4 linked regions of the Rhinolophus ferrumequinum genome follow. The protein of the gene in region 3 interacts with the protein of the main gene of each other region in a biochemical or structural test. Links are inferred from orthologs where the notes say so. Each region holds a gene or a part of one and is shown on either strand. Other genes may lie near its edges. The genes, in order: WAS, FGFR1, PLCG1 and PDGFRA.

What was found.
Region 1: the proteins of PLCG1 (region 3) and WAS form a complex in vitro, tested with the Homo sapiens proteins (2 studies listed by BioGRID). The link is inferred for Rhinolophus ferrumequinum from reciprocal best matches to the Homo sapiens genes PLCG1 and WAS.
Region 2: the proteins of PLCG1 (region 3) and FGFR1 form a complex in vitro, tested with the Homo sapiens proteins (4 studies listed by BioGRID and IntAct, with this or other methods). The link is inferred for Rhinolophus ferrumequinum from reciprocal best matches to the Homo sapiens genes PLCG1 and FGFR1.
Region 4: the proteins of PLCG1 (region 3) and PDGFRA form a complex in vitro, tested with the Homo sapiens proteins (2 studies listed by BioGRID, with this or other methods). The link is inferred for Rhinolophus ferrumequinum from reciprocal best matches to the Homo sapiens genes PLCG1 and PDGFRA.

What each region holds. Positions count from the first base shown.
Region 1 is NC_046284.1:85,909,915-85,916,937, reverse strand, and holds the start of WAS (actin nucleation-promoting factor WAS), read left to right. Parts: upstream 1-4,007; 5' UTR 4,008-4,213; coding exon 4,214-4,345; intron 4,346-4,708; coding exon 4,709-4,849; intron 4,850-5,834; coding exon 5,835-5,921; intron 5,922-6,023; coding exon 6,024-6,126; intron 6,127-6,237; coding exon 6,238-6,279; intron 6,280-6,372; coding exon 6,373-6,426; intron 6,427-7,023. UniProt on the Homo sapiens protein: Effector protein for Rho-type GTPases that regulates actin filament reorganization via its interaction with the Arp2/3 complex. Important for efficient actin polymerization. Possible regulator of lymphocyte and platelet function.
Region 2 is NC_046287.1:61,188,154-61,195,655, forward strand, and holds the start of FGFR1 (fibroblast growth factor receptor 1), read left to right. Parts: upstream 1-4,484; 5' UTR 4,485-4,623; intron 4,624-4,791; exon of another isoform or gene 4,792-4,931; intron 4,932-7,502. UniProt on the Homo sapiens protein: Tyrosine-protein kinase that acts as a cell-surface receptor for fibroblast growth factors and plays an essential role in the regulation of embryonic development, cell proliferation, differentiation and migration.
Region 3 is NC_046306.1:15,662,956-15,670,460, reverse strand, and holds the start of PLCG1 (1-phosphatidylinositol 4,5-bisphosphate phosphodiesterase gamma-1), read left to right. Parts: upstream 1-4,501; 5' UTR 4,502-4,637; intron 4,638-5,026; 5' UTR 5,027-5,140; coding exon 5,141-5,357; intron 5,358-7,505. UniProt on the Homo sapiens protein: Mediates the production of the second messenger molecules diacylglycerol (DAG) and inositol 1,4,5-trisphosphate (IP3). Plays an important role in the regulation of intracellular signaling cascades.
Region 4 is NC_046288.1:16,595,736-16,602,834, reverse strand, and holds the start of PDGFRA (platelet-derived growth factor receptor alpha), read right to left. Parts: upstream 3,016-7,099; 5' UTR 2,834-3,015; intron 2,220-2,833; exon of another isoform or gene 1,921-2,219; 5' UTR 1,690-1,920; coding exon 1,660-1,689; intron 178-1,659; exon of another isoform or gene 1-177. UniProt on the Homo sapiens protein: Tyrosine-protein kinase that acts as a cell-surface receptor for PDGFA, PDGFB and PDGFC and plays an essential role in the regulation of embryonic development, cell proliferation, survival and chemotaxis.

The sequences.
Region 1 (7,023 bases), on a different chromosome or scaffold from region 3:
TTAGCTATTTCATAAAAACAACAATACATAATTAGCATGTTAAGCTCTGTCCTGATCACTGTACATTAGTTATCTCGTTTAGTCAACAACCTTAACTGCTATTACTGTCTTCACTTTATGGAGGAGAGAACTGAGGCACTGAGAGGTTACCAGACTAAGTAGTTGGTAAGTGCCAGATCCAGGCTATAGGGCTCCAGAATCTGTGGTTCTAACCACTGAACCTTTCTTATTTCTACAGGTGTCTCTGCTTTTCTGTGCTTACCTTGTCCTCACTCCACCCCCACCAGGACTAGAAATCAGCTGTGGGGACAGAGTCCCAGAGAGCAGTTTCCTGGCTCTTGGCCTCACATGGAAAGGTGCTGGCTCGAGTAGTAGATGGCCATCAGCTGTAACCATTGAGCCATTGGCCACTGATATAACTGCAATGGCTGAGCTAGCAAGCGCGGATTGCAGTTAGCAAGTGGGGTTGGAGGGCAGAGAAGTGGACGGCAGGTTGTGGATCGTGTGGCACCTGCTTCCTGTGTCTCCAACCCAGCCACCAGCGAGACTATAGTGGTATGACTCCCCTATCTGTGGCTCCGTGGGTGTTCCTTTTTGGGCTCACCTTGTCCTGCATTCTTATGTGGGGAGCAGCACCAGAGACCCCGCATGACACCCCGCGTGACATCAGCCCCTTCCCTGACGGTTCCTAAAGCACCCATTTGCCCTTAGCATCAGTAAACAATGTAAACATCTCTGTGGGAGGGGCTGGCCCCTGCACACTCTGGAGTTGAGTTGTTTTTCTTTCCCCTTCCCCTAGGCATGGGGGTGAAGAGATGACAGAGGGGCCTTGTGGGAAGAGGACAGTAAATTGAAGCATAGAAATCTAGACTGTACAATGATTATTCAACAAATGCTGGTTGAGCTTCTGAATGCAGGGTCCTGTGCTAGGGTGGTGGGGATATGCCAATGAAGAAGACAGACAAGGGTCCTGATCCTTCCTGCTCTGGGGGCGTGTTTTGGGAATGCCTGGTAGGCAGACTTTGGTTGTCAGAGTAATGGGAGTGCCTCAGCATTGAATGGGCAGGGGCCCGAAATACTGGGGGACAGCTCCACACCACCAAGACTTGTAACACCCATGAATGTATGTCATTCCAGGATGGTAAAAGGAGGCCTGCCCAAAGGTTTCTTATTAAAAGGGAGCATTGGGTTGGAGAGTTGAGAACTTCTGTTTCCTTAGGGTGGGATTGTCCCCAGGAAGGAGCCCTCATGGACATGGAGGACTGTGAGGGGCTGGAAGGTAAGGGGAGGAGAAGGATGATGTGGCAATGGGAATTCTGCCATCTTGATGTCAGTTTGGTCTTAGCAACCTCCCAATGCCTATGTCTCCTCCAGGGACTCAGTTACACAGTGGTGATTCAGTTATGAGAGACACCCCCTCTGTCTTCTTACCTACTTAGGACTTGAGGCTCGATCTTGTAGGCAATATCCTCTCAAAATAAAGCAAAAGAAGCACAGGATATAAACAAGAAGTGACTCTCCATCTGGTAACCCCTGGGGGGATTGGCAGAGGGAGGTGGTGAGGGAACATTAGGTGAACGTAAGTTATTGGGCACATCCTAGTTCTTGGGGGTTCCTGGGCATTCACTGGATTGCTAAGAAGTAAGGTAGAACTTCGGCTCCCAGCTGTGGTGGAGTAAATTGTATTCGACCCACTCTCCAGCTGAGAGCAGCCAGAAAGGTTGGACTAATGTATTGTTCTTTTTAAATCTATTTGAAGGTCCAGGAGAGCAAGTAACCTTTGAAGTCATCACCTCCCCAAATACTGTCATTCAGTGCAGAAAAACAAGAGTAGATGGGGACACATAACAATAAAATAAACCAACTCCAAATTATTAATGCAGATCAACAGAGTAATTCAATAATCTGAACATGATAAATGGTATTAAGATGATTAATCACCCTTTTAAGATGGAGAAACTCATTCTATTGAGTTTATTTCAGGGACTGAAATAAAAATCTACTTTAGCTTTTTTATTTAGAGAAAAATTTTAAACCTGTCTGCCACTTAGAAGTAAGAACAGAAAATATAAAACTTTTAAATGTTAATTTAAACAGCAACCAGCAAATGTAGCAGAGGTTTAAGGCCCCCTGATGGCGACTTAAAAGGGACAGAGGTAGGGTCAGAGAGAGAAGGAGTAGGGAGGAAGAGCACAAAAGACAGAAAAGGAACAGAAGAATTTTATATTGGCCCCCATGTGGCACTTCACAGTTTTGGAGCTCACATAACTGGCCTCTGATCCGTCCGTCACAAGCTGTGTGATCTTAAGTGAGCTAAGCTTCTGTGGGCCTCAGCTTCCCTACCAGTAAAATGGGGGTGACAGTAGTGCTTCGTGTCGTCTGTGAATGTGAAATGAGTTAATACATGAAAGGCATTTAGAAAAAGCTCAGAAAACACTTAACCAGTTAGACATTAATCCCTCATTCATTCCTTTACTTACTGTCTAGTTTGTGCCAGATACTGGGTATACGCTTGGCACTTAGAGCTCAATGAGTAGTGTTAAAATGAATGAATGCAGTGGCATTTTAAGGAAAAGCAGGGGCTTGCCCTAATGGACAAGCTGGAAGGTGCCTCAGGCCTGGAGGAAGGAAATCACCTGATGAGTTGGTGGCACCATAAACTAAATTGTGAGGGGGGAGAGGAGGGAAGTTGGCTTGAATTGCTACACAAGAAGGGACTTTGAACCTAGGCTTAGGAGAGAAGCTTTGAACTTGGGGGCATGGGGAGCCCAGCAGGTTTCCAGGCAGGACTGTGTGTCCCACCTTGAGATGTGCTGTTGACCTTCAGGTACCCAGGAATGGCAGTCACACCCCAGACCGGCTCAGCTCCCCCAAACTGCTCTATGTGTGCCTGAGAGCTTTGCGTCCCCCCGCCCCCCCCATGGAAGACTGAGGCCCAGGGAGGAGTGGGAATAAGCTAGCATTCACTCGGGGACAGTCTGGCATTTTCTGGTACATGTAGAGACATGCAAACCCTCCAGCCCCCTGACTCCCCTCCTGAGAGGGGATGCCTGCGTGACCAAGAAATGTGTACAGGAGGGAACACAGCAGTGTTGCTCCCAACAGCAAAAGCCAGAAACAGCCTAAATATCTGTTAACAGGAGAATGCGGATAAAAAAAGTTGTACAGTCACCCAATAGAATACTATATAGCAGTTCATATACTAAAAAATGAATAACTGCTACAGGCAAACACGAATCTTAGTAACAGACAGAAGGTGTGGAGCATAGTGATGAAAAGTGTGCCCTCTGGACCCAGCCTGCCTGGCATGCAATCTGGGCTCTCCCACTTGCTGGCTGGGGGCTACTGGGAAAATCACTTAACCACTCTGCCTCAGTTCTCTCATTTTCCTCTGTCAAATGGACACGGTAATAGTGTGTGTCGCACAGGCTGTTAAGAGGATTCAAATGAGTATTTACAAAGGGGTCAGAACAGTGCCTGGCATACATTCAGTACTACATGAATGTTGGATAGATAAAAATAAAATATTGAGTGGAGAGAAAGCAAATCTCTGAAGATTACATACTTCAAAAGTTCAAAAGCACTGAAAATGAAGTAAGATATTTAGGCATTCATATATCCTATAAAATTCCTTTCTTCAAAAAGGGGTGATATGTAGAAAGTAATTTGGGAGCTGCAGGGAGGCAGGGGTAAGGGGTGGGGAAGTGAGCTGCGTTGTTGGATGTCTCAGGAGAGGGATGGGATCCCAGGTGCTCACTGTGTAATTAAAGGAAATGTTTTAGCACAGTAATTCTTCAGCACTAGGGGCCTTGAACCCTAGGCCCAGGCTAACTGGGTGCTGTGGGGAGGAAGGAGGCTGCCCAGCCCCATGACTGTTCCCCACCGCTGCAGCATGCCTTGCGGAAGTGCTGTAGTGGCCTAGCTCTTGCTGTCAGCCAATCAGAGGGAGATGGGCCCCAGAGAGTAAAAAAGAAGGAGGAAGACATGAACTGGTCCAAAAGATGAGTTTAACCAGTCAAGTGGAGGAGGGCCCCAATCTGGTAGAGGGTCCAAGCTTGTTCTAGGGTGGAGGAGGCCAGGCCCACCGAGGGGCCCCTGGAGGACTTGTTTCCCTTGTGGTTTTTTGTACTTCCTGTTCCCTGCTCACTGCGGAAGTTCCTCTTCTTACCCTGCATTCAGAGCCTAGCTGGAGAGGACAAGGGCAGGAGGCACCATGAGTGGGGGCCCTGCAGGAGGCAAGCCTGGGGGCCGTGGATCGTCGGCGGTTCAGCAGAACATACCCTCCACCCTCCTCCGTGACCATGAGAACCAGCGACTCTTCGAGATGCTCGGACGGAAATGCTGGGTGAGCTGGGGATCACCTAGCCCTCCCTGTCTCTCTCCCTTTCCTCCTCTTCCTCCTCATCTTTCCCATCCTCCCCATCTCCGCCTTTCCTCCCTTTCCTCTCACCTTATCTTCCCCATTCTTCCCCTCTCCTCCCCTTTCTTCCCCTCTTCTCCTCCTTTCCTTCTCCATCATCTCCTCTCCTAGAATCCATTTATCCCCATTCACCAATCCCGGAGAGATCTCCATGTCTGTTCACTTTCTCTCTGGTTGTGGCCCTTCCTTGGGGGCTATGACAGCCGTGGGTAAGGAAGGACCAGGTCTGGCTCCGACCCTCTGGTTGCCCCTGACCAAACTGCACTGAACTCCGCTCTCCCTTCCCAGACGCTGGCCACTGCGGTTGTTCAGCTGTACCTGGCGCTGCCCCGTGGAGCTGAGCGCTGGACCAAGGAACATTGTGGGGCTGTGTGCTTCGTGAAGGATAACCCCCAGAAGTCATACTTCATCCGCCTTTACGGCCTTCAGGTGATCCCCATTCCTCACTGGACAAGCAAACCAGTTTTCAACCCACAAACAAGATCTGGGTCCATAGCCCTGAACCCTTGGACAGATCAGTGAACCCCTGGACCCCAGAACCAAAGACTTCATCCAGATGTCAGACTCTGGTTTGCCTTTCTAAGTCTGCGATGATTGACTCCAGAGTCTCTATGTCACCATATATACCTCATCACGTATTAGCATACCTCCTAAGTCTAATCTGTTCCACAAACTCCCCCCAAAAATGAGAACTATAGTTTTACCTGCACCTTAAATCTGCTCTAGAGCCACATTTTGGGTCTCAGGAATCCCCCATCAAAACTTCTGGACCTCAGATGTTTGCCCAGCTCCTAAGTCATAAATCTATTCCACAAATCCCCAACCTGAATATGCCGTTGGGTCGAACTCCAAATCTGTCCTTTTAAACCCACAGCCTGGACCTCAGCATTCCTGAATCTGTTCCACAAACCCCCAACCTGAACTCCCCAGACACATACCTCCCATTCATCCTTCTAAACCCATAAAGATGAACTCAGCATGACCACATCAAGATCCCAGGACCATCAAATACCAAAATCCTAAGCCATAAAACTCCGCTCCACAAACCTCAACCCCAACTCCAAATACTGGAGCCCTGCCTGCCCAAATGAAGGCCCCCATCGTGGGGGTATGGGATGGAGTCTAGAATGGGCTCAGTTTCCTAAGACGGGAGCCCCAAATCCTCAAATCCAAGCCCCCAAGTTCCACAGCTAGGATCCCAAACCCCAAATTCAAAGATCTCACTGCAATGTGTAACTCCCATACTGTACCCCAATCCTCCACATCTGACCCCTAGACCCCCAACTCTTCTGATGCCGAATTGGAAACCTCCAAATCAGATCCTGGGGCCCCAAATTTGGACACATGTTCCCTGCCCAGATAACAGAGACCTGCCCTACATGTCTCAGTGCCAGTGTGTTCCCCACCTCTCCAGGCAGGCCAGCTGCTCTGGGAACAGGAGCTGTACTCACAGCTGGTCTACTCCACTCCCACCCCCTTCTTCCACACCTTCGCTGGAGACGTAAGTGACCACCCAACCCCTGGGCCTCAGTTGGGCTGTGGGGAGGAGATGGGAAAGGTGGGGGATGGGCCTGGGAGGCTGTTGACCCCAAGGTGTACGCAGGACTGCCAAGCGGGGCTGAACTTTGCAGACGAGGGTGAGGCCCAGGCCTTCCAGGCCCTGGTACAGGAGAAGATACAAAAAAGGAATCAGAGGCAAAGTGGAGGTAAGGAGGCCTTGGAGGAGGAAAGGGGGTTGGGCAGAAGTGAATGCAAGAGTGGGGAGCTGGAAAAGCCCCCTCATGGTTCTGGTTCCCAGTTCACCTGTCTCTCCACAGACAGACGCCAGCTACCCCCACCACCAGCACCAGCCAGTGAAGGTGAGTCCTCTAGTGCAAGTAGGGGTAATAGCCGGCTAGCCCAGGAACCCGTGGCAGGGTTGTGATAGCTCTCTGTCCATTCCATCTTCCCAGAAAGAAGAGGAGGGCTCCCACCCCTGCCCCTCCACCCAGGTGGAGACCAAGGGGGTGAGTGCTGATTCTTCCATGTCCCTGGGTGAACGGGTGGGTTAGGGTGTGGATGAATGAGTAATTTGGTGGGTGCAGAGATAAGTGGGTGAATGGGTGGGTAGAAGGGTGGATGGATTGGTGGTGGGTAGATGGTCGAGTGGGGGGACGCACTGATGGGAGGATGAAAATATAGATAGATATATAGATGTATAGGTGGGTGTATAAATGCATAGGTGAATTGGTGTGTGGCTAAGTGGATGAATGGATAGATGACTCAGTAAATTAACGAATGAGTGAGTGAGTGATTGAATGAACCGAACAGTAAATAATTGAATAAGTGAAATAAAATTTCAATCAGTGAAAGAAGCAATGATTGAATGAATGAAAGAAGGAAGGAACGAGTGAGTGAGTGAATGAATAATTTAATAAATTAGTCAGTGAGCCAGTGAATGAATGAGTCAATACTTAAGTGATAAGCATAAGTGAATGAATAAATAAATGAATCAGTGAACGTATGAATGGTGTGTGGGACCCACCCACCCACTTTTCCATAAACCCTCCTTGGACCCCCTCACCCACTCCCTCCATGATCATCAAACACACACCGAGATTCCC
Region 2 (7,502 bases), on a different chromosome or scaffold from region 3:
AGCAACAATGGCTACCATTTATTGAGCACTTACTATGTGAGTCTGTTCCTTCAGAACAAAAGACTACAGAAGCTTCAACACCCCCACATCTACTCTTAGTCTGTCTTCCTCGATTATCCCAGATGAGTGCGTGGATTGTCACGTGCTGTTTGTCATCTTTAAAGATTCAGGCATCCCTTCCCCTGAGTTGTCTCCTTTCCTGATCTCTCCTCCCCAAACACCCTGCAAGTGTCCCTGGTGTGGCATGATTTGCAATGTTTCATCTCTCCCGAGGATGTGCCCTTGTCTCTTTCATCTGAGATCCACTATGCCTAGCACAGTGCCTGACACATGAGTGGAATGTGTCACCCTCCTCCCCAATGCTCAGTGAATGAATGTTGCATTAGGGCCAGACAAGCTTAGCTGCCACTGCTGCCGAGCTCCCTTTCCCACTCCCAGTTGGTAGGACAGAGTGAAATGTTATTTACAAAAACACCAAGCCAAACAAGATCCTCCCTTCCCTGATACGCTGAAACTGTGCTGAGAACAGCCAGGGGTCACCAAATGGCAGCCAGATGGTAACTGACTGCTGCTACTTAACTCCAGGGGCCCTGGGGCAAAAGGCTTGGCTGCCCACCTGTTCCTAGGGACCTGTGAACATCCACTTTGTAAGGGAAAAACCCAGACGGTTCCCTCCTCCTGAATCCCTTCCTGCAACCAGGCCTCAAAAACTGAGCCCCTGCCGGTTCCCACCAGTCTCAGGGACTCCCGAAGCCCGAAGCCAGCCTGAGCAGCTCTATGGCCCAGCCTCGCCCCAGGGTAGATGTCGCTTGCCTCCTGCCACTTCTGTAACAGGCAGGTGTTAACTGTGTAGTACCAACCCAGTGTAGGGGGTGGGAACCGCAGGGCCCTGAAATAGCTAAACTCAGTTGGAGCAGGGGAACACTAGGAGAGGAGGAGCTCCCTTCTCTGTGGAAGAACTCTGAGGACACAAATAGCTGAAGGAAAAGGGAAAAGTTTTTGTGCAGTGTTCCCAAACAAAGAGAACTGATCGGGCTTTGGGGAGAGCTCTGTTTACTCTGTTTCATTCAGCACCGGTCCCCTCCTTCCACAGATCTGGGAGGCAACAGGTTCCCAACTAGTTATCAGGTCCTCCAGCGTGAGGGCCTTTGTCTCCCCCTCAGACGTCTAGCTGGCAGGGCAAGGGGCCTACAAATCCTCCCTGACCCTCCCAGCTCTTTGTTATCTCAGAGGGAAGATTACGTTTCTGTGTGGGGAGGCAAGGTGCCAGGAGGCCTCAGAGCAGGACAGAGGCAGGCAGAGAGCGATTGTCTGACCTCCTTTGCCTGGAGCTGGTCAGGGCCACCCTGGGGATACTCTCTCTCCACTGGCCTAGAGCCTATCCCGAAGTGAAGGGTCTGCATTTCAGAAAGAGGAGGGGGAGGAGCAGCATGGAAGGAGAGCAGACCGGAAGGATAAAAGCAGGGCAGCTCTCAATTATTCAGGAGCCGTGCCTGTGGTCTGTGTGAATGGCCCATACGTTCTCAGGGTTTCTCACCTTTTCCATTCCACTGTCTTTGGGTGTTTCCCTGAGAGCTGGGGGAGGGAGAGCTATCAAGCTGGACACTTGCTTTCATTTCGGTTTCTTGCTAATCTGTAGAGAAATTTGTTCAGCATCGGATCTAGGCTACTTAACATCAAACAGACAAGCATTTAGATCATTCTCTTTCTGTTTAAATCAAGGGCACATTCTTCAGCCTCCTCTTTTGTATTCAAGATACTCCTAAAATGCTTCCAAATCAAAAGAAAAAGGGCTAGATTAAAAACCCCTGGTTTATGGGGTGGCCAGTTAGCTCAGTTGGTTAGAGAGTGGTGCTGATAACATCAACATTGCCAGTTCGATCCCCGCATGGGCCACTGTGAGCTTCGCCCTCCTTAAAAAACAAAAACAAAAACAAAACCCTGGCTTAGAAGAATCTTAGAGAGGAATGGTGATATAATGTCTTTTAGTAATAAAGTAGGAAAATAGTGGTTGGGTATTAACATAAATGCTGGGTTTTCCATAGCTTGTGTGCCCAACTCATATTCCCTTAAATTGTATTTCCTCCTCTGGTCACCATGAAGTCTGCCAACAACAAAAATATATAAAACGCCTCCTGAGTAGTCCTGAGCTAGGTCACATACAGAGATGGAATCTTTGCCCTGATACAGTTTAGGAGCTAGTTAGAGAGAAAGAGTAAAAAAGACAACTAACAAAGTTATGTTAAGTATCATACCAGACGGTCAGTAGGGGTTCCAAGGATCAACATGGCTGGGATTGGCAGGGAAGGCCTCTCCAAGGGAGAGGGGCTTGAGTTTTGCCTTCTTAAAGGCCTGGAATGAGAATTATTTAAAATGAAGAAGGCTGCATGGGTGGGCAGCCTATATGGGAGGATTTAAAAAGAGCCTGATAAGGGGTGGCTGGATGGTTCAGTTGGTTAGAACATGAGCTCTCAACAACACGGGTTCCCGTTCAATTCCTCCATGGGACGATGGGCTATGCCCCTGCAACTAAAGATTGACAAAAACGGTGACTGGACTTGGAGCTGAGCTGTGCCCTCCACAACTAGATTGAAGGACAATGACTTGGAGCTGATGTGCCCTGGAGAAACAACACTGTTCCCCAATAAAATTTATTTTAAAAAAAGAGCCTGATGAGGAACTGAAGGGTGGAAGGGTGGGGAGATAGCTTATAGCCTATAAACAATGGCAGAAGTTCATGTAGTCCACAAATATGTGAGTTCCTGCTTTTTATTTAGTTTTAAATTTATTTACTTTTTCAATAAATATTTACTGAATATTTACTCTTTGGTCAGTCAAATAACATTTACTGAGCTCCTACTATGTGAATGACACTGTGTTGGTGACAGTAAGGGAGTCCCAATCAACTGGGGATAATATGTAAATAAGTCTTGATGTCTTTGCAGATGCATGCCTGGTCCAAAATTAAACAGCCCATAAGTAGGGGACAGAATGAAGGTATCTTTCATACCTAATGTGACATATTTCTCACCCTACCGGTGTTCTCCAATCTGGCACCATGGGATCTGTAGAAAAAATACAAACTCTTTGCTCCTTCCTGGGACGACCTAATTCCTCAAGTCTGAGCAGGTGCAACAATTTGTATTTTTCCAAAGTTCCCCAGAGGACTCATGCCCATTTGGATTAGGGAACCATTAAATTCTACCACTCTGTGGAAGGATCCAAAGGAAAGGGCATTTTAGCCACTTTCCCTCCGGTTCCATAGAGTACTGGAGTGTACTCTGGGTGGTCTCTGATTCATTTTCAAACCAACACCACCCCTCAACTCCCCCCACTCACTCTTTGCTTCAGAAACATTCATGGCAGCCTGGAGACTTCTGGAGGCCAAGAATGGCGCTGTAGAATTGACAGGACCTAGCTTCCCATGGACCACAAAACCTAAACTATGTGGCTGGGGAAAGTGGGATGGAAGGAAAGGATCTGAGGTGGGGACCCTTTTATTCTCATGAATAAAAATAGCTTGCATTATTGAGTATGCCAGGCCCTCGTCTAGTCCATTTAATCCTCAACTCTATAGGGAAAGTACTATTATCCCCCTTTGACAGATGAGAAAACTGAGATGTAGAGCAAGAAAATCACTTCCCTCAGGCATACAGTTAGTCAGACTTCAAAGCTCTCGCCTCCACGTAGAACCTCAGGGCGACAGCGTCTTCTCACCTCACCCCCAATACTGCTCATCTGCCCAGGGCCTGCATTTGGGCGCCCTCCAGGCGATGCTCAGATGGGGGCGGGGGACACGCCCTCAGATGCAGTCCAGGCTGCAAGCGAAGAGCAGCAGAGTGCCAGGTAGCTCAGCCCGCTCCCCGCTTCTCGGGGGCCAAGGCTCAGGAACTACAAGGCCAGCAGGCAGCTGCATGGGGAGGAGGAGGAGGTGGGACTAGCGCGGGGTGGGAGTGGGAGAGGGAGCCCTCGCGCCTCGCCGGCGCACAAGCGCTCGGAGCGCTCCTGCGGGCACTGGTGTGACGGCTAGCAGCGGGCGGCAGCGAGCGGGAGCCGAACTCCGGTCCAGCCGCAGCGCGCGGAGGAGCCCGGGCTGTGCCCGGAGCTGGGCGGCAACGTCCGGACAGGACCGAGACTCTGCTTAGCGCATTGCGGCGACCTCGCCTTCCCCCGCCGCGATCGCTCGCCACAGCTGGAGAAGCAGAGGAGACCGCGGACTTTTCTCCGGTCCGAGGGGCGCTCCGCAGGGCGCGCGGTACCAGGACTGCAGTCGGGCACGCCGCGGCGCCGGGGCCGCCGCAGGGCGATGGAGCCCGGGCTGCGAGAAGCGTGAGGCGCCCGCCGCCGGATCTGGAGAGGGGGGGCCACAGGGTCTGGAGACCCGGGCGGTGGACGGGAGCCCTCCCCCCCGCCCCGCCTCTGGGGCACCAGCTTCGGCTCCATTGTTCCCGCCCGGACTGAAGGCGCCGGGCGCCGAGCGCCCCCGGGAGTCGAGGGCCGGCCGCGGGGCTCTCGCGGCCCCGCCAGGAGCCCGGCGGCGGGGGCCGGAGTCGGGAACGCGGGCGCCTGCCCGCACTAGCCACCGCTGGACTCTCCACAGGCGGAACCGCAGCGCCCAGTGAGGTAAGAGCCGCGGCGCCCCCAGATCCGGGGCGGACTTGGCGTCCCGAGCGGCCCCCGGCGCTGGAGCCTCCTGGCTGCGCGCTTACCCCGCCGCAGCCGGGTCGGGACGGCGCCTCCCTCCGCCGGTTACCCGCCCCCCTCCATCTTCCAACTCCCTCCCCAGCGCTCTGCGCCCCCCTTTTGTCTCCCCTCCCTCCGCTCGCATCGCCTTCTGCGCCCCCTGCCCGCGCTCGTCCCGCCGCTCTCCTGCCGACCAACTTTTCCGCCAACTCGCGCTGGGGAGCTGGCGAGGCGGCGGCGACTCCGTGGTGAGTCCGGGGAGGGACATGGCCGGGGCGAAGGCGGCGGCGGCCCTCGGTGTCCTAATACTGGGGAGGAGGGCGGGAGTGGGCAGCGAGCTGGGGTGTGTGTGTGTGTTGCGTTACACTCCATCTCTTTTTAGTCCACTCGCAGGGATTCACCCCAATTCAGCAGGTAGCTTTGGGTGGAACGCTGAAAATCCGGGGTACTTCTAAGTCTTTTTCCACCTGAGGAAAGTCTGGGGTCGTGTTGAGGGTGGGTTGGGGCATGAAGAGGGAAGGGAGTGGAGGGGTAGGTTAGCTTCTCTCGGAATAGGTTTTAACTCGTATGTCGTCACCAAATGGCTGAATCCGCTTTAGATGAGAGCGAGAAAGGAATTCCCATTTCCAGAGGGGGCTTATCTTCTTAGTTCATCTCCGAAAGGGTTGGAAGTTTGGAGATGGTGAGGGCGCCCAGTGGGTGATGTTAAGGCCCGCGAAGGGGTCGGGGGAGGGGAACGTTCAGTTTCAGTCTTTTTCTAGGAGGTGGGGGAAGGGATGGAGGGTTTTGTCCGGTGCGGTGTACTCGGCAGCGATGCATGTTGCTTCTCTGGCCCAGACCCCTCTGCCTCTCGCCCCCTCCTTCCGTCATGTTTGAGGTTGGGAGAAGAGGGGCTAGAGCACTCATTTGCGGAGAAATTTATTGACGTTGTAGATGGAGTTCATTTAACACGTAGCCTGTGAAGGCAGCCCAGACACCTTTGGTGGTGGTGGTGGTGGTGGTATACGTGTATGTGTGTGGGGAGGGTGAATCCTCCTTCTTTCTGGGCCCAGAAGCTATTAGCCTATTTAAAAATTTCTGCGGTGTCTTTCTCCCCCAACACGTCCCCCACCCCCCATTTTCCACACGTAGCATCCGCATCTGGTTCCGTTTCACCCCACACGGGTACACCGCAGCCACGTTATTAACATCATTCTTCCTCCCTTCCCCCTTCCCCAAATTAAAACTGGACTTCTTCAACTTGTCCTTTCCATCTCCTTAAAATTTCTGACGATTTGGAGATGTGGAGTTGGGATTTGTGGAGAAAAAAGTTACCCTGGATCGCAAGTTATTTAGAATCTCGTGGTGGTGGTGCTTTCTCGATTGTGTGGAAGGTTTTAGGGGGTGGCACTTGTGAACGGTTCATCTGCAGGAGGTGGATTTTTTGGTCAAGGGTCTGACCCAGAACTGGCCCTGACGGAAGTTTCTGGAATCCAAGTATTGCTTCTTCTCCCTTCAGTTGTAGTTGGAGCCCTGGAAAAGTCTGACCCTGTCCAGAGCCAGCCGTCGGGTCTCGGGCAGTCCGGCGGTGGCGTTGCGCGTCCCTGTTCCACCCTCCCAGGAGCCAGCCCCCGGCGCAGCGGCCGGGGACGGGGCGGGGGCGGGGGGCGAGGGCTGTGGCTGCCAGAGGCGCTCCTTGTGCGTTTTTAAGGAGTTAAATGGGCTGCAGCCCCCGGAAACTAAAGTGAGACATTTTACCATTTAAATAACGGCGACAGTTTTGAAAGCGGGGGTTGGATTGTTGAGGGTTTTTTGTATGTGTGTGTGTTGTTTTTTTTTTTTTTGGAATGTCCTTTGAGGTAGGAGAGCACCTTGTGGTCCAAAGTCGCGGGAGGGTGGGGAGAGTTGGTCTCTCTCACCCTCTCCTTTCCAGTCTCTTTCAAATTGAAAACACTTCTCTGGTTTCCTCTTTTGGGCGGTAGTTTTGGAGGCTGTAATGAAATCGCACTTTCTCTAGACATGGTAATTAAGGTGACTGTTTCCTCCGCAGATGTGCCCTGCCCTTTGCACCTCCGGACCAGAGCTTTTTTTGGAATACCATCTAAATTGTAGAACCTTAGCCTTGAGACTGTTTAGCAGAAAGTGGCCATTTTCCCCCGTTGGCCCAGGCTCCCTGAGGCTTGTTGAAAAGCTAAGTAGCAGAGCCTCGTGGGACGTGCCTCGGTCTGGCTAATTACCTCGAAGCCTGGGTCATCTCCTTTCCCTTCAGTGACCGAGGGCAAGAGGGAGAGCCATTGCCGACCGTCTGCCCTGTTGGCCTGCTTCCCTAATGACTTGTTTACATATTTGCCCCACTTGATTGGGAGAAGCTCCAGGGCTGCCGCTGACCTGGGTGGAGCGCCGTGTGTTTGGGGACAGGGAGGCTGCTCCGGCCTGGCTCCAGTTGGGATGGTTGTGTACTGCATCAGTGACGAGCTTCTTGAAATATCTGTTGCCTTACTCTTAGTCATAGCTGAGTGTCAGCTTTTTAATAAGGGCCATCCATCCGGATGGATAGCCACTTGGACATGGGTGCTTTCACGTCCTGCTTTTATCATGCTTGTGGAAATGCCCATCTTGGAGGCATTTTCACAAATGGGATTTGGGCCAGAGTGGGCGCTACTTCCTTTAGTTCTCAAGCAGACAGTCTTGGGTGCTTCTTTATCTTGGCCTTTGGCCATGGAGGATGTTAGAAAGTTCCGTTATGCACCCTTAGAAGAATAGCACGTGAAGCAAAAGCACTGGTAGAAAGAAGGAACCTCTCAGATGCTATTGTCCCATCCCTCCTGAGGGAGAGGATT
Region 3 (7,505 bases):
ACCCTAAACTTTTTTTATAAAAGCTATTTTATTTTCATTAATTAATTAATTAATTTATTTTAAGGAGGGCACAGCTCACAGTGGCCCATGTGAGGATGGAACCAGCAACCTTGGTGTTACTAGCACCACGCTCTAACCAACTGAGCTAACCGGCCTAAACTTTTTTCAACGGATTGAAAAGAATACATTTGTGGTAAGCGTAGTGATGTGCCATCCAGGTTCCCCTTTAAGAAAGCACTTGTTGCCCCACTGCTGGGAAAGCTGTCAGTCCCCCAAGGTCACCTCAGCTGTGGAAAGCCATCTGGCCAAGGCTTGCTTTTCCCAGGACAGTCCACATCCAGTGGCTGATTGACGTGGGCTCCCTGGGGATTGGCCTGTGTCACAGCTTAACTTCCCTCTGTACCTCCTCCTGTTTCCGTCCTCTCCCTTCCAAGGGCACTCCCTAAGAACACATTCTGCACACTAACCTCTGTCAGAGTCTGCTTCCAAAACACCCCCAACCTTTGACAACATTAACCAAATAACTAAAAATAGAAAACATTAAGTAGGGGTATTATGGAAAGGGGTGAGGATACACAATAAAACGTTCATACCTGCATGAGAGGCAACATAGCATTGACTCTGGAGCCAGGGTGCTGAGGTTTGAATCCATCGCTGCTACCTCTTAGCTATATGTCCATGACCATGTCTTAATCTCTTCATGCCTCAGTTTTTCTCCTGTAAAATGGGGATAAGAACAATACTTTGGGCCAGTCCGGTGGCTCAGGTTGTTGGAGCTCTGTACTCCTAATACCTAGGTCGCTGGTTCGATTCCCACAAGGGCCGATTCCCAGCTGCGCCCTCTACAGCTAACATTGTGAATAACAGCTCTCCCTGGAGCTGGACTGCCATGAGCAGCCAGAGGTTGGCAGGAGCTGCTGCGGGCTGCTGTGTGCTGCCGTGGGCTACTGTGTGCTGCCGCAGGCTGCTGTGTGCTGCCAGGAGTGGCCGGTGGCCAGCATGAGTGGCCGGCAGCCATCATGAGCGGCCAGTAGCCATCATGAGCGGCCGGCAACCAGCGCGGGCTGTCATGAGCTGCTGTGAGGAGCCGACCCACGACCGGCAACCGACTGCCTCAGCCCTGGGGGAGCTCATAATACCAGCATGGGCCAGGGAGCTGCATCCTACACAACTAGACTGAGAAACAATGGCTTGAACCGGAGTTGGAGGGTAGGTGGAAGAAGGGGGAAAAGAAAAAAAGAACATACTTTCAGTGCTGTAATGAATAAATGAGCCTATGTGAGTAAAGCAGTTATGTAGGACTTACTTTATGCTAAGTGCTGTTCTAAGTGTTTGGTAAATAAACACCTGTGACGTCAGGCCCACAGGACCGGAGGGGCAACTGGGCTGGGACTCCTCCCCAGACTCCAGGCACAAGTATTAGGGTAGACCGGGCATGTGGAAGCATGAGTGTTGCTAGAAATAGGCCCAGGCAAGACTAGCCTGGGTGATGTCACAGACATGTGCCTTGTGTGGGTGCTGGGCTGCTCCCTCCTAGCCAGTGCAGCTGTACGCATTGCCAGTGACACCCACATACCCATATATATGCTGAGATGGGGGAAGCCCATCCCAGTCACGCCCTCTGTGTGCCCTGCTTTTCCTGAACATCCTTTGGTGGAGGGAGGCACCTGAGTCCTGGGATGCTGGCTCAGAAATCCCAGGAGGAAATGGGGCCCTGTTTCCTAATGAAGGGCCTGGCAGCAGACTGAAAATATGAGCTCGTGTTGGCAAGGATTTCTGGAGCTCCTGGGGGCCCAGCCTGAGAATCAAAAACGCAAGCAAAAGCAAGGAAGCATGGGCTGCATGTTGGGAAGCTCTCAGAAAATAGCAAAACAGATTTTAAAAGTGCATCACAGCCCGCAGGCTGCCCAAGTTGGCACAAGAAGCTCAAGGAAGGCTATAGGAGTTGGGAGGGGCCCTCCTAGAAAAATGGACAAGATCAGAAAGGCAGGGAGGAGCCCCATTCAGGCCCCACCGGTCTTCCTGGCCTCATTACCCCACATGTTCCACTGCACTAGATAAACGCTAGCCTTCTTTCTATTCCTAAACTCGCGAAGCTCTTTCCAGCCTCAGGGCCTTTGTACGTGCTGTTACCTCTGTCTGGAAAGCACTTTCCTTTCCTTCAACCCACCCTTAATAATTCACCTGGCCATCTACTCACATCCTTTAGGCCTCTGTTGAGTCTTAAAGAGGTCTTCCTTGTCTACTAGATCTGAAGTAGGGCTCTCTAATGTTTTATCTCATAGCCCTCAGTTCTTTCCCTCTGTAGACCTCATCACAATTGTGCCTACATAAGAGAGTGTTTATCTGTTTAATGTCTGTGAATTCTTGGAGGGCCGGTGCAGGGTTTCTCTTGTTCTTCCAAACCATGGCACCAATGCCTAGCACAGGGAAGCTCAGGAGCTGTAGACAGAGGCAGCACCATTTTAAGCCCAAGCCACACTTTATGAGCGTTTGTGTTTTCTGAGTTCCCTGTGCTCAGGGCCACGCATGCCCAAGTCTTCCCCTCACCCATCCCAATTAGCCTCCATGCCCACTGACTGTTGTCCTACTTAAGGCAGTGGCTCTCTTGTGAGGCAGAAAATGCATGGAGTCAGACAGACTTGGGTTCAAATCCCCACTTTTTAGTTTTGTGACCTTGGGGCAAGTTATAGAACTTCTCTGAATCTGAGTTTCCTCGTAAGTAAATTAGGGAAAATAATCCCTGATTAGAAGGTAATTATGAGGATCAGGTGTGACCACATATGTAAGCATTGTATCTCTGGGCAAGTCATTAGATCAACTTTAGTTCCCTTCCATTTTAAAAGCCTGTCACTAGGTGGCAGTCCATCTCAGCCACTCCACCTCCGCTCAGGTGGCTGAAGCCTCCTAGGACAGGCGACTCAACTTCAGGCTGAATTCTCAGCTTCTTAGGGGCTGCACTTGAGAGGGAATCAAAACACACACAAAACACACACCACTACCGCAAGAGGCAGCCCCAGACACTAGTCACCACCCAGCTGGGTGGGTTGCCTGAGCACAAATTCCAGGAAGCCTGGATCTGTCTCTGGCATCAGCTGGGTGCTCCACTGGGCCTCTCACCTCTGAATTGCAGTAAGTTGCCCTGCTCTGCCTTGCTCGATATCTGTCTGACCGGTTCCACTGTGACCACAGGTGTCTTCGGTGTTGGCGGTTCTTTGTGACAGGCAGCTAGATTGCAGGGATGAGTCTAGAGAATGGCTTCAGGAAGGCAAAAGAGTGTGCATTATTCACATACCGGCATATCTCAGAGATATTACAGGTTCAGTTCCAGATCACCATAATAAAGCTCGTATTGTGATAAAGGGAGCTGTAATCTTTTTGCAAGTGGGGGGTCTTGCCTTCAGTTTGTTAAAGACAACACCTGTGAAGCCCAACAAATGAGGCACACTAAAACAGTCAGCCTGTAACCACAAAAAGGCTTTGTGGCTGGAGAATGGGGCGTGAAGGGGAGGTGGTGAGAGATGAAGTAGAAGAGAAAGGGGCCAGACCATACGGGACCTGTTGGGCCAGGTAGGGAGTGTGGATTTTATGTGCAATGGAAAATCATGGAGGCTTTGAGGCTGGAGGTAGGGGACCATGATGTAATTTAATTTTAAAGATTAAAGCATGGAGAATAGATGCAGGCAAGAGCAAGGAGGGTAAATAGTCTGAGTGAGAAAAGATGGGCCTTGGGCTTGTGGATGGAGTGGCGATATCTGAGGGCAGAGTGAACTGGATCTGATGGATTACTGTGTGTGTGGGATTGAGGCAGAGAGGAATCAAGAATATCTCCAAGGGTTTTGGCCCAAGCACCTTAGCATTTAGTGCCATGTTCTGAGAAAGTGAAGACGGTGGGAAGAGCAGTTTGAGGAAGAAGTGAAATGCCTGTGTTAAGTGTGGACGCGGAGTATGGAGAGAGTATGGACGGGATGCAGGAGAGAGACAGATTTGACGTTGCGGGTGCCTGGGTTGGGGGTGACAGGTCGCCTTGGGAACTGGCTCAGGACCCAGCAGAGAGGAAGAGAAGCTTCTGAGGCCTAAAGGCAGCAGCCAGAGAGGGAGGAGGGAAACAAGAGGAGTCGGGCTGTGAAAACCAAAGCTCAGGAGAGCATTTACAGGAGGGTCACCATGAGGTAGGACCTGAGACCACCTCCTGCCTTGTGGACACGGAGTGTGAGCTGAGGTGACAGAGACAAAGGCCACTGGGAGCTGTAGGTCTAAAGGCCCTGCAGGAGATGCTCAGATCTGGTGGGCTTCTCCAAGTTACAGGGCCCTCGAAGGCTACACTGGCCGCAGGAGCAGGACAGAGGTGGGTCTGCGGCCTGCGGGCCAGCCCTGCGCGGCCAGAGAGGAGGGGCGGGCTAGATCGTCTGTCCATCAGAGACCGCAGGCCAATCCGCAGACGGCCCCGCCCCCGCCCCTCCCCGGAGAGGGCGCGCAGAAGACCCGCCGCCGCCGCCGGTGTGAGGCGGCCCGGCCTGGCTCCCTCCGCCGGGCAGCCCGCCCAGGTAACTGGGTTTGGCTGGCGGGCCCGAGGGACGCTCCGCGCCCTCACCTCCCTACCCGGTTGCTGCGCGGGCGGTGCTCGGGGAGTAGGGGTGAGGAAAAAGCTACGACTGGGCCTGAGCGGGACAGTGGGCTGGGCGGCCGCCTGTGCGTGTGCGACTCACTGCGGGGCCGCCGAGCGGCTACCGCGCGTGACGGGGTCGACTGTGGCCACGCAGCTGTGTACGGGGTCGCGTGAGGAAGCTCTGCGGGACGGAGGAGTGGGGGCTTGACCGCGAGCGGCACGCGCGCTCCCGCCGCCATTGCGCCCCCGCCCGGGGCCTCGCCGGGGGTCGCGGGGCGCAGGCGCGGAGGGCGGCAGGCGGGGGTCCTCCCCACGGGCGCGCGGGCGTCTTTGTTCCCGGCGCGCGGACCGGGGCGGGGCCTGCAGGGCCGCCCCGCCCCCCGCTCAGGCCCCGCCCCGCCCCGTCTCCGCCCGCAGGAGCCGCCGCCGGGGCCCGCTCGCCGGCAGCCTCAGCCGCCGCCGCTGCCGCCTGCTCCCACCAGCCGGGCCTGCATCGCTGTCGTAGCCTCTACCGCCCCCAGGACCGGAGCCATGGCAGGCGCTGCGTCCCCCTGCGCCAATGGCTGCGGGCCCGGCGCGCCCTCGGACGCCGAGGTGCTGCACCTTTGCCGCAGCCTCGAGGTGGGCACCGTCATGACTTTGTTCTACTCCAAGAAGTCGCAGCGGCCGGAGCGGAAGACCTTCCAGGTCAAGCTGGAGACTCGGCAGATCACGTGGAGCCGCGGCGCCGACAAGATCGAGGGGGCCAGTAAGTGCGACCCCTCCCCGGGGCCCGCTGCGCGCGCGGGGGCGGCAGAGATCCGCGCCCGCCTCCCGCGCGCCCGCGGCCGCCGAGCGACTTGGACAAACTTTCCGTCCCTCCCCACACCCTCCGGACCCCGCCCCCGCCTCGGTCCCGGTGGTCACCAGGGGCGGGGGGCATCCGGGTCCTCAGTCACCTGACAGGACACCCCCTCCCCCAGCTGGGGGGAGTGTTCTGGCGCTTTGCCCAGAGGCCTAAAAATTCTAGTGAGTTGGAGACCAGCGGGGCAGGCATCGGGTCTCCCACACACCGGGAGTGGTGTCCACAGAGGCGAGGGGAGGCAAGGCGGCGCCCCCCATCCAGCCCCTGAACCTGGGGTGAGACCAGATGGTCGCCGCTCACCACCTTTTCTCCAAAAAGAGCAGTCTTGGTGAAACTCTTTGGGCCCCTAGGCTGGGCTTTTATTTGCAAAAGAACCTTTGGGTTCTTTGAGTAGAACTTAGGCAGATGTTGGAGTAGGGCTGGTTTTGGAGCCGAGCCGGGCCTACTCATCTCCCTCTTGGGGAGGAGGAAGGTGGTCTTGTTTGGTTTGGAAAAGCCTGAGAGAAGGCAGTGGCTGCTTTTTCCTACTGCTGCTTTTGTCCTGAAGCTGAATATTGGAGGTCTGTGTGGGTGAGCAGACACCCAAAGCCAGGGCAGGGACTCTTGGTAAAGATCCAGGCTCCCCTTTCCCTTGGAAGCTCAGTCTCAACTACTTGACCCCAGAAAGGCCAGCCTCAGTGCCTTGGAGTCAGATACTCTTTTCATGAGCGGGCAGCCAGTTTGGGGTCTAGCCCTTTATGTCCTGTGGCTGTAGGGAGCCAGGAGCTACTACTCTTGATTTCTTACCTTTGTGCTCTCCCGGGCCTGAGCATGGCAGCTTTTGTGCAGGTCTGAGTTGGGAGGAGGGAGTTGGGGATTTTTAAAAAAACCCAGATCTCTCAGTGTTATTCCACTTAGCACATGCCTGTGCTGTGGCCGGATGGGCACCCAGCTCTGCCCTGCGTTCCCCCCCCCCCCCCCCCCCCCCCCCCCCCCGCCTCCAAGTGTGAGAGATGATGTGTCACAACCCCAGGCTGTGGGTTGCTTCCTGCAAGGACCGCCCCCCCCACCCCCTCCAGAGACAGGTGTCAGAGCCAGGCTCAGAACTCGGTCCATGTATAGGAGGGTGGTCGGGAACTGACACCCCCAAGGGAAGGTCCTACAGACTTCCTTGAACATGCTGTATATGCATGTAGATGGGTGAGGAGATTGGGAGGAAGGAAGGCCTTGTGGTAAGGCAGCCATCCTCAACTGCAAACTCCAGATCTGACACAGCTGCTGACCTTAGAAATGGCAGCTGTCTTCCTCCATCTCCATGCCCCCATTGGCCCTGTCAGCCATTGCGAGAAAATGTTAGTGATTTGAGAGACTGGATTTCAAAGTGGAGGAAGTACAGACACTGCAGAAAGCTGAGATAGTCTTGGGAACGTCACCCACATATCAGAGTCCAGACACAGCCCCTCTCTTGCTTCTGTGGTGATCCCTATGCTGTGCCTAAATGGGGTCCCTGGCTGGAGGTTCCCAGATAGAGAGCTCCTGGGTAACAACAGGCTGCATTTCAAACCACGCATGTAACCAGCAGGTAATAAGTGCAGCCCAGGGGTTGAAGGCAAGGCTCGATTTGAGGCCTGTATATTAGTTGTGTGTCCCCAGTCAGTTCCTTATCTTCTCCTGTCCTTACTTTTCATCTGTAAAGTAGGAATAATAACATATCCGCTATATGTGGTTGCTCAGGGGAGTAAATGAGAAAATTGATGTGAAAACATCTAGCACAGTGCCTGACACATGATCAATGCTTAGTAAATGTGAGCTGTTGTTAATAATGACAATAACAGATTATGACTGCCCTGCTAGACCCTGGACTGTGAATATTGTGCAGGGGGAGTGTGGGTGTAGGAGAGTCTGAGAGTGCAGGAAGGGAGGAGGATGGCAACTGAGTTCACATTTCACTTAGATCACTACCCGGAAAAGGGTAGGAAAGGGGGTTTTTTTGCCCCAACCCATCTACCTACCCACCCACCTACCATGTAGAATAGTGTGTAGAGTAAATATATGGAGATTTGCACATCTGAC
Region 4 (7,099 bases), on a different chromosome or scaffold from region 3:
ACCGAGTAGTATTTTAGCTCTTTGCCCAGAATTGTCACGTTTCCATCAGCGGCGTGTAACCTTGTCGCGGCTCCACGGAGGCCAGAGGGAGTCCCACCCGCTGGGGTTTGCGGGAAAAGCGCTGGCCACCACGTCCCCAGGACGCGTCCCAGCGCTGCGCGCCGCCCACGGCCCGTCCCCAGGAGGCACAAAATGGGCCTGCCTCGGCGCCAGACACTTTTGCAGCTGGAAAGCCCTGCCTGATGCCCCTCCCCCTCACCCCTCCCCAGCCCGCGCCCTGGGAGGAAAGTGGACCTGGGGCGGAAAGCGGGGAGCCGGGGCTCTCTTTCGGGTCCTCCTCGGTCTAAGGCTTGTGCAAGGGCCGGGAGTCAGCTACGGGTCTCAGCCTCACCTCCTTCTGTCTCCCCCGCAACCCCGCTCTTAGGACTCCAACCCTGGAGTCCAGCTACATTGAGCCAAACCAAAAGCAAGACTACGCAACAGCCCCGAAGCAGAGAGGGCGTCAAAGTGAGACTGGTCGTGCCCTCGCCTATCGGGGAGCAGAGGAAGGGCCCCCTTTATCGTGAGGACCGAGGAAAAGAGGAAGCCAGGGGGTGGGGGAGCGAGGGGAGAGAGAAAGAGGGAAGGGATGCAGCAGCAGCACCAGAATGCGGGTGGGTCAGATGGCGGGGTGGGGGGTTGTTGTAAAAAACCACAGCCAGCGCGGCAGCAGAGGAGGTGCGCCGGCCCGGGGCGCCCACTTCCTCCGCTCCAGCAGCCCTGGGCCCACTGGGCTCTGAGGTGTTAGTGCGCGGAGCTGGGCGACTGTCTTGCCTGTTTGCCCTGGATGCCTCTCCCTGTTCTAAAAAGCTGCCTAGCTCTGGTTGGGAGCGAGTATGGCGAGGCGAGACGGTCCAAAGGTTGAGCAATTCGGCTGCAGAGCCAAAAAACCATTTCCCACACCGCCCAGCCCCGGGCTTTTCCAGGCAGCTCAGCCAGTCGCGGGGCAAACGGGACCTGATAATGGCCATCCACCCTCTGTCTCCAACCCTTGTTTGCCTCTCACGCAGACGAGTAGCACGTTCTTCCAGGCACTTTCTGTACATCCTGAGGTCTTAGCAGGGTAGGAGAGCAAAGTACGGGACCCGCGCTCTGGCTGCGGGAGAAACGGACAGGGGATAGACAGCCCAGCACTTCCTTCTCGGCCAAGACGTTTGGCCAGGCCACTGGCAGCTCCTGCACACCTGGCCAGGTTGCCGGGATTCCTGGCCCCCTCCGGCAGCCGTACTCAGATCTGGCCGCGTTCCCTCTCGCTCTGAGCTGGCCGCGACCACCCTTTCCTAAAAGAACCGCTGATCCCAGTTGTTTCCGCGCCAAGTGGGCGCCGCCCGCTCCTTTTGCGCTCCGGGGAGAAGTTAATCTCACGGGTAAAAGCCGATTTCCTTGGAGATAGACCTCGGAGGAAGGAGGGGCTCTAGGAGACCGCTCTGCAGGGGGCAGAGAGGCCGGCGCAGGGAGCGGAATAGAGACTGGAGTCACTGGAGAGGATGAAGCAGCGCAGGACTAGTGCAGGGGGCGAGTGCCACGCATCCCAGGTCGTAAAGGGGCATGCAAGGGAGGTCTTGGGCTCAGGGGCCCGGAAGGAGGCAGTGAGAGTGGTTGGCCTCCCGCTTGTCTTACCTGGAACCAAGTTTCTCCGTTCCGAGTCATCCCTCACTTCCCCACAAGAAGTTCAGCGCTTTTCCTGGCGACCTTCCTTCTTTCCTTTCAGCGCCGGGACTGGGCAGCAGAGCCCCGGGCTTTGCAAGAACCAGTCCACGGAGGAAGGGGGCGCACAGCTACGGGTGGGGGTGGGGAGTATAGCGCACAATGAGGGCCCCTTGGAGCGCAGTTCTAAATTCCTCAAATCCGGGTTGCTGGAATGCGAGGCGACGACGACTTCTTCACTCGGGGCCAAATGTGTTTGTCATTACTCCAGACGGCCTGCCCGCCCGCCCGCGCCGCCGTCGCCCCCGCGCTAGGGCGCGCAACCCGAGCGCACTGCGGGACTGGCGCCCGTTCTCCCTCGCACTTCACTAATCCCACAAACCGCTGGGGAGCTCCCCAAACCCGCGCCCCCTCTGCTCGCCTTGGAGCCGCCACGGTAGACCTGAGTCTGGCCCCGGCTCGCACCCGGCGCGGAGCCGTCCAGTAATTACGCGCCCAGAGCCGGCGCTGTGTGCACCCAGTGGGCACCCAAGGTCCGGCCTCCTCCAGCCGAACCCTTCACTCCTCCCCTCCCTGCAACCCCTCCTGCGCCCCACTCGGCGCTCTTCTCACTCTCCTCCCCCGATGCTCCAGCCGCACTCCACGCCACCGGCTTGCAGCGTTGTCCCGCCAAACCGCGAGCGAGAAATGAAAATACTCATTAAAAACCTGTCGCCTTCCAGGACCCACTGCCAAAAAGAAGGCAAACACCTCTGCCCCCACTCTCAGCACTACTTTGGTGCTTGTCCCAGTATACACTACTAGTACCACCCCCAACCCCAAAAGAAACCTCAAAAATGTAAGCCTAAACAATTTCTTTGGGAGGCCATAGAGTTGTTAGAAAAACACTGCTTTTAAAAATAGATCTGGAAAATGTGGGGTTTTTTTTAATCCCTAGACTTTCGAACTCTATGGCTATCTTCCCTCCAAGTGAAGTTTATTCAAAATAAGTTATTATCTGGACACACGACTGGAATTCAATTCCAATTTTGTTTTGTTTTGTTTTCTCATCGCCCAAAGTTTGAGTGAAGCTACTTCACTTCTAACCCAAAGGGCCTGACAGGGACTTCTCTTAGAAACAAAAATCATTTTTTTCCTTCTCCCTTACCTTCTCTTCCTATGTCAATTCGCAATGAAAATCCTACATATGCAGTAAAAATTGTGTCCACGGCCTCCAGTCCTCCCCTGTAGTTCCCTCCTCTGTTTCTCTCTCTCTCTAGTTCCAACTGTAATGGGCTCAAAAACCGCGTTTTGTAATTGATTCAATGTTATAGTCCATCCTTCTAAAACTAATCATTTGCTCTAAGTAAATAGCTGTCAGGAAATGAAGCCCCCCCCCGGGCCTCTTCAAAATAAAAGTTTCCTCGAACTGTGCGCTCTGAAATCTCCCAGCCTTCAGATTGCGCCTTCGCGTTTCGCTCTTATGCAATCAGGGGGTCCAGCCCCAACCCCCAGACTTCGACAACTGGGGAGGGGGGCGGGGAGAAGTAGACCAGATGGGGTGGGGGTGGTGGAAGGGGGAGGTGTTGATGCTTAGCTGGGAGAGAGGTTCAGGAAAATACAAACTGCCCATCATTTCTAGAATGAGTTTGCCTCCTGATTTGGGGGTATTTCCCTACTCTGCTATATTGCTTAGTATTCTCTTCGAAAGGAAGAAAAAGAACACGTAAACTTGCATTTAATGCCCAGAGAGAATATAAATCTGAAATCGAAAAGTGTCTCTTCTGTAGAAATTCCAAGCCGAGCTAGATATAGGGCCCTCGGCAGAGGTCTCCTAGCGGTTGCGTCGTTTTGAACCTCGGGTCTTTTAGGGAAAGGGCCAGGTAGTTGCTAATCTTTTAATGGGATTAGACAAACTGTTGAGTCCGATATGATGATGCTGGCTTTTTGTTTTGCTTTGTTTTTGAAAATGGGTTTGAACAAGGGTACAAAGAATCGAGCGTCTGCTCGATTTAGACGTTAGGAACGTTCTCGGACAGAACGACCTTTACTCCCTTGGAGCCACTTATCTTGTCTTGCCTTTGTTTTCGGGGTTATCTGGGCGAGGTTGCCCTGGCTTCTATCACGTACACAAAAAGGTTTAGGCTTGGGCGTTTGGAGAATCACCTATGACAAGCCCTCCACCTCCGCGTTCAGGGGAAGGGTGCATTTTGACCATCATCCGAGCGCCTTCCCGCCGCGTGGGTCAGACCCTTCCAATGCCCTGGGGTTGAGAGCGGAGCCCCAAACCCTATTCCCAAGGCACCAGGCAAGAGTGCGGGGTGAGAACGATCCTGCTCGCTAAGGAAAGGGGGCGCTGACGCTCTAGGAACCAGCCCTGGGCGGAGTGGAGCTTTCGAGAGAGGGCGGGGGAGGGGAGCGCATTCATCTCTTCGCCTTCTCTAATTTTGAATTCTCTTGTTGGGTGTAGGGGGGGAGGTGGTCATCCTTTGCACCCACCCACCACACACATTCTTCAGAATGGCCTGGGCGGCCAGGTTGAGACAGAAACGTCGGACTGCCATCACCTTTCTCCTTCATCAGGAGGGTGGACACGGGACAGCTGGCAGGGGAGGGTCACCGAGAAGTACTGCAAGGGTTGCTGTGCTTAACTGGGACGGGCTCCTGGGGTGTCAGGATCGGGAAGACGCCTGCGGCTGAGCTAGGGGCCTTATTTCCCAGCCCCTCTGAGCGCCGGCCTCTCGTGCATCTTCAGTTTGGGTGACTGCACTGCTCACTATTACTTCCACATGTTCTTTCAGGAAATCATTGAAGGCAAATATATGAACAGTCCCTTGTTCGGAATGCTAACAGGATACCGTAATGTTTGTAGATAACGAACGAGAACCAACGACCCCAAAAATATCAGAGTGCGGAAAAATAGGAAAAAGCGGGTACTGGCTTTCATGCGATTGATAAAGACAAGTTGATATCTAGGTTTTTATACCAAATACCCAAGAGGGTAGGAGGCGAGGCAAGGAGCTACCCAGGAAGGCCTGCTCTGCTACCGGGAAAGTGCTAACCCGGTCTCAACAGGGTCTCCTGCAAGCAGGACCCCAGCCCTCCCCGCGCACAAATAGTAACTTCACAGTTCCTTTCAGAGACTCTTAAGGGGGCCTGAAAAGGGGGCTGGGCGGGGGTGTCTTCGGGCCGTAACTCCTCGCGAGTTTAAAGCCCAGCGAATGGATGAGCAAGTGAGCACCCAGTTGTCCTTCTGGTAGTAATTACCTGCCTAATTTGAATGATGCCTTTGTTATGATCATTAACAAACATTTGCTAAAGGTTTCCATGTGTGACATTCCAGAAGGTTTAAAGGCTTGGGGAGCCGACTCCCCGGACAGCGCTCTGGCGGGGGGTGGCGCAGGGAAACAAATGGTTGGGGGAGGATTTCGCCGAGTCTGGGGCGAGCAAAGATGGAGAAGAGGTCAACATCTGCCTTCCCTGCCGAAGCAAAATAAACCCAGTGGTCAGGAGCAACCTCGGGGCTGGAGGCCCACGGAGAGAGGCGGTTCTTTCCTGAAAACGAGTCCTGCCCGCAGCCCCCAGCCGCCCGCCCCTCCCATTGCTAATAGGCGAGTTTGAATTTTGCCACCCGCCCTCCGCCGCTGCTTGGAGACTTGGGGAGAGGTCGGGTCTGCGCGCGGCAGACTGCCGGGGCGTCGGGGGAAGGTGGGGCCGGCCAGGCCGCGTTCTGCTCGTGTTGTTCTAAGATCCTTCCAGATTGCTCCCCTGTCGCCCGGGGTCCTGGGTGGTCCTGGAGCCGCAGCGGGCAAGAAGCGGCGCCGGGCCAAGACGGTCTGCGGGGTCTTTTCTCCTCTTCCTCGGCTTCTGCCCAGGCCACCAGGGGGGACCAGGCCCACCTGTGCTCCCCGAGGAGTGACCTTCGCCCGACTGGGCAGCTGGGAGAAGGTCCCAGTTCGCACCAGGATTTTGGTTTTCAACCTCTTGTGTGTTTTCCTTAAGGGAACATCATGGGGTTAAGAATGAGGGTTTTCTCCCCAAAACGGGAGCCTGAGCTGCTGCGACCCTCTAGAAAGGAGGAGGCCCAACTCCGGAGCTCAGCTGGGCTGGGACGTCGGGGGCAAGCGGCGGTGCTGGTGCGGCTTCGCGCGTCTAGGCCCGCAGGCAACATGAAATTGGCTGCGAGGGTATAAAGAGATGTAGTGGAGCCAGCCATCAAAAAAAAAAAAAGGCCCCACAAACTTTTTACAACCAAATCAAAATGGTCACTGAAAACAAAAACAATCTCCCCCAGCCCTGCCTCCCAGACTTGCTCTTTCGGCCCCCGCCCCTCGGTAACCCGGGCGGCAGCTCTGGGCGTCACACCTACGGCTTTGGTGGGCGTTTCCCAGTGAGTTGGCTTTTTGTTTCTTCTCTACTCCTCCTTTGCTGTCAGCTCCACCCCCCAATTCTACTTCCCTCGGAGAATTCAGAAGGTCTTTTGCCTTAGAAGACCTGTAGCAGTTATCGAAGCCGTTGGTTGTGAAAATCACATGTAAACAAACGTGATTTTTTTGACGGGGTAGGGGCAGAGTTCTAGCTTCCTGATTTGAAGACGAAGGGCCGTTTGGTGGTTTGCCAAAGAAAACGGCGCTAACTGCCCCTTCCCCCACACCCTTCAATTCTTGATTGCGAGCCGCCTCCCCGGGCCCAGGGAAGGCACTTTCGTGGGGAAGACTCGGAAGAGGCTTGTGGATGTGACACATAGATGTGGGTCTCCCAGGGGAGCCCGGCGAGGCCTCCGCCTTTGCCTCGGGTCTGAACCAGCTGAGGCTTGAAAGCTCGCTCCGAACCTCTGTACGCTCAGAATTCAGGGATCCCCAAGTTGTGGACAAGGAGTTCGAAGATTTCTCCAAAAGTGTCCCCACTGGCGTGTGTAACTTTGGGTGACAGTTCTCTCCCTAGGGCTCACTCACCTCCTCTTCTTCCGTTTGCTGGTTGGATCTAAGGGCGTGGCGTCTCTTCAGGGTTCCTGGGGGCTCTCGCTCTAGAGATGTGTCTCCAGGGAGTAGAAAGCAATTCCCTGCGGCTGGGGAGCAGCCGAACCCTCTCCTAGGGTTCCTAACACCCCTGCCTGCTTAGTGACCTCAGTGAGGACCAGAGATAGTGAGCCCAGGTGGGCCTGCACTCCTCAGAGGTGGGAAAGAGGTGGGTGTGCATCTGGAGTTTTGATACCATTTTCCCAGGAGAGAGCCCCACTTCCTCAATATTTTTGTGTCTCCTACTCCCCTCTGCCTCTCTTTCGGCCTTAGCTTTTAGTTACTTTTAATTTGAAAACCCCTGTAAGGGGAAGAGGAGGGACTGAAGAGATTGGGAGGTCTGCTCTCTATTAGGGGCCTCAGCCATCCAGCTTTCCAACACACAGCTGTGGCTTGGGAGGAGAAGGAGGGCTGGC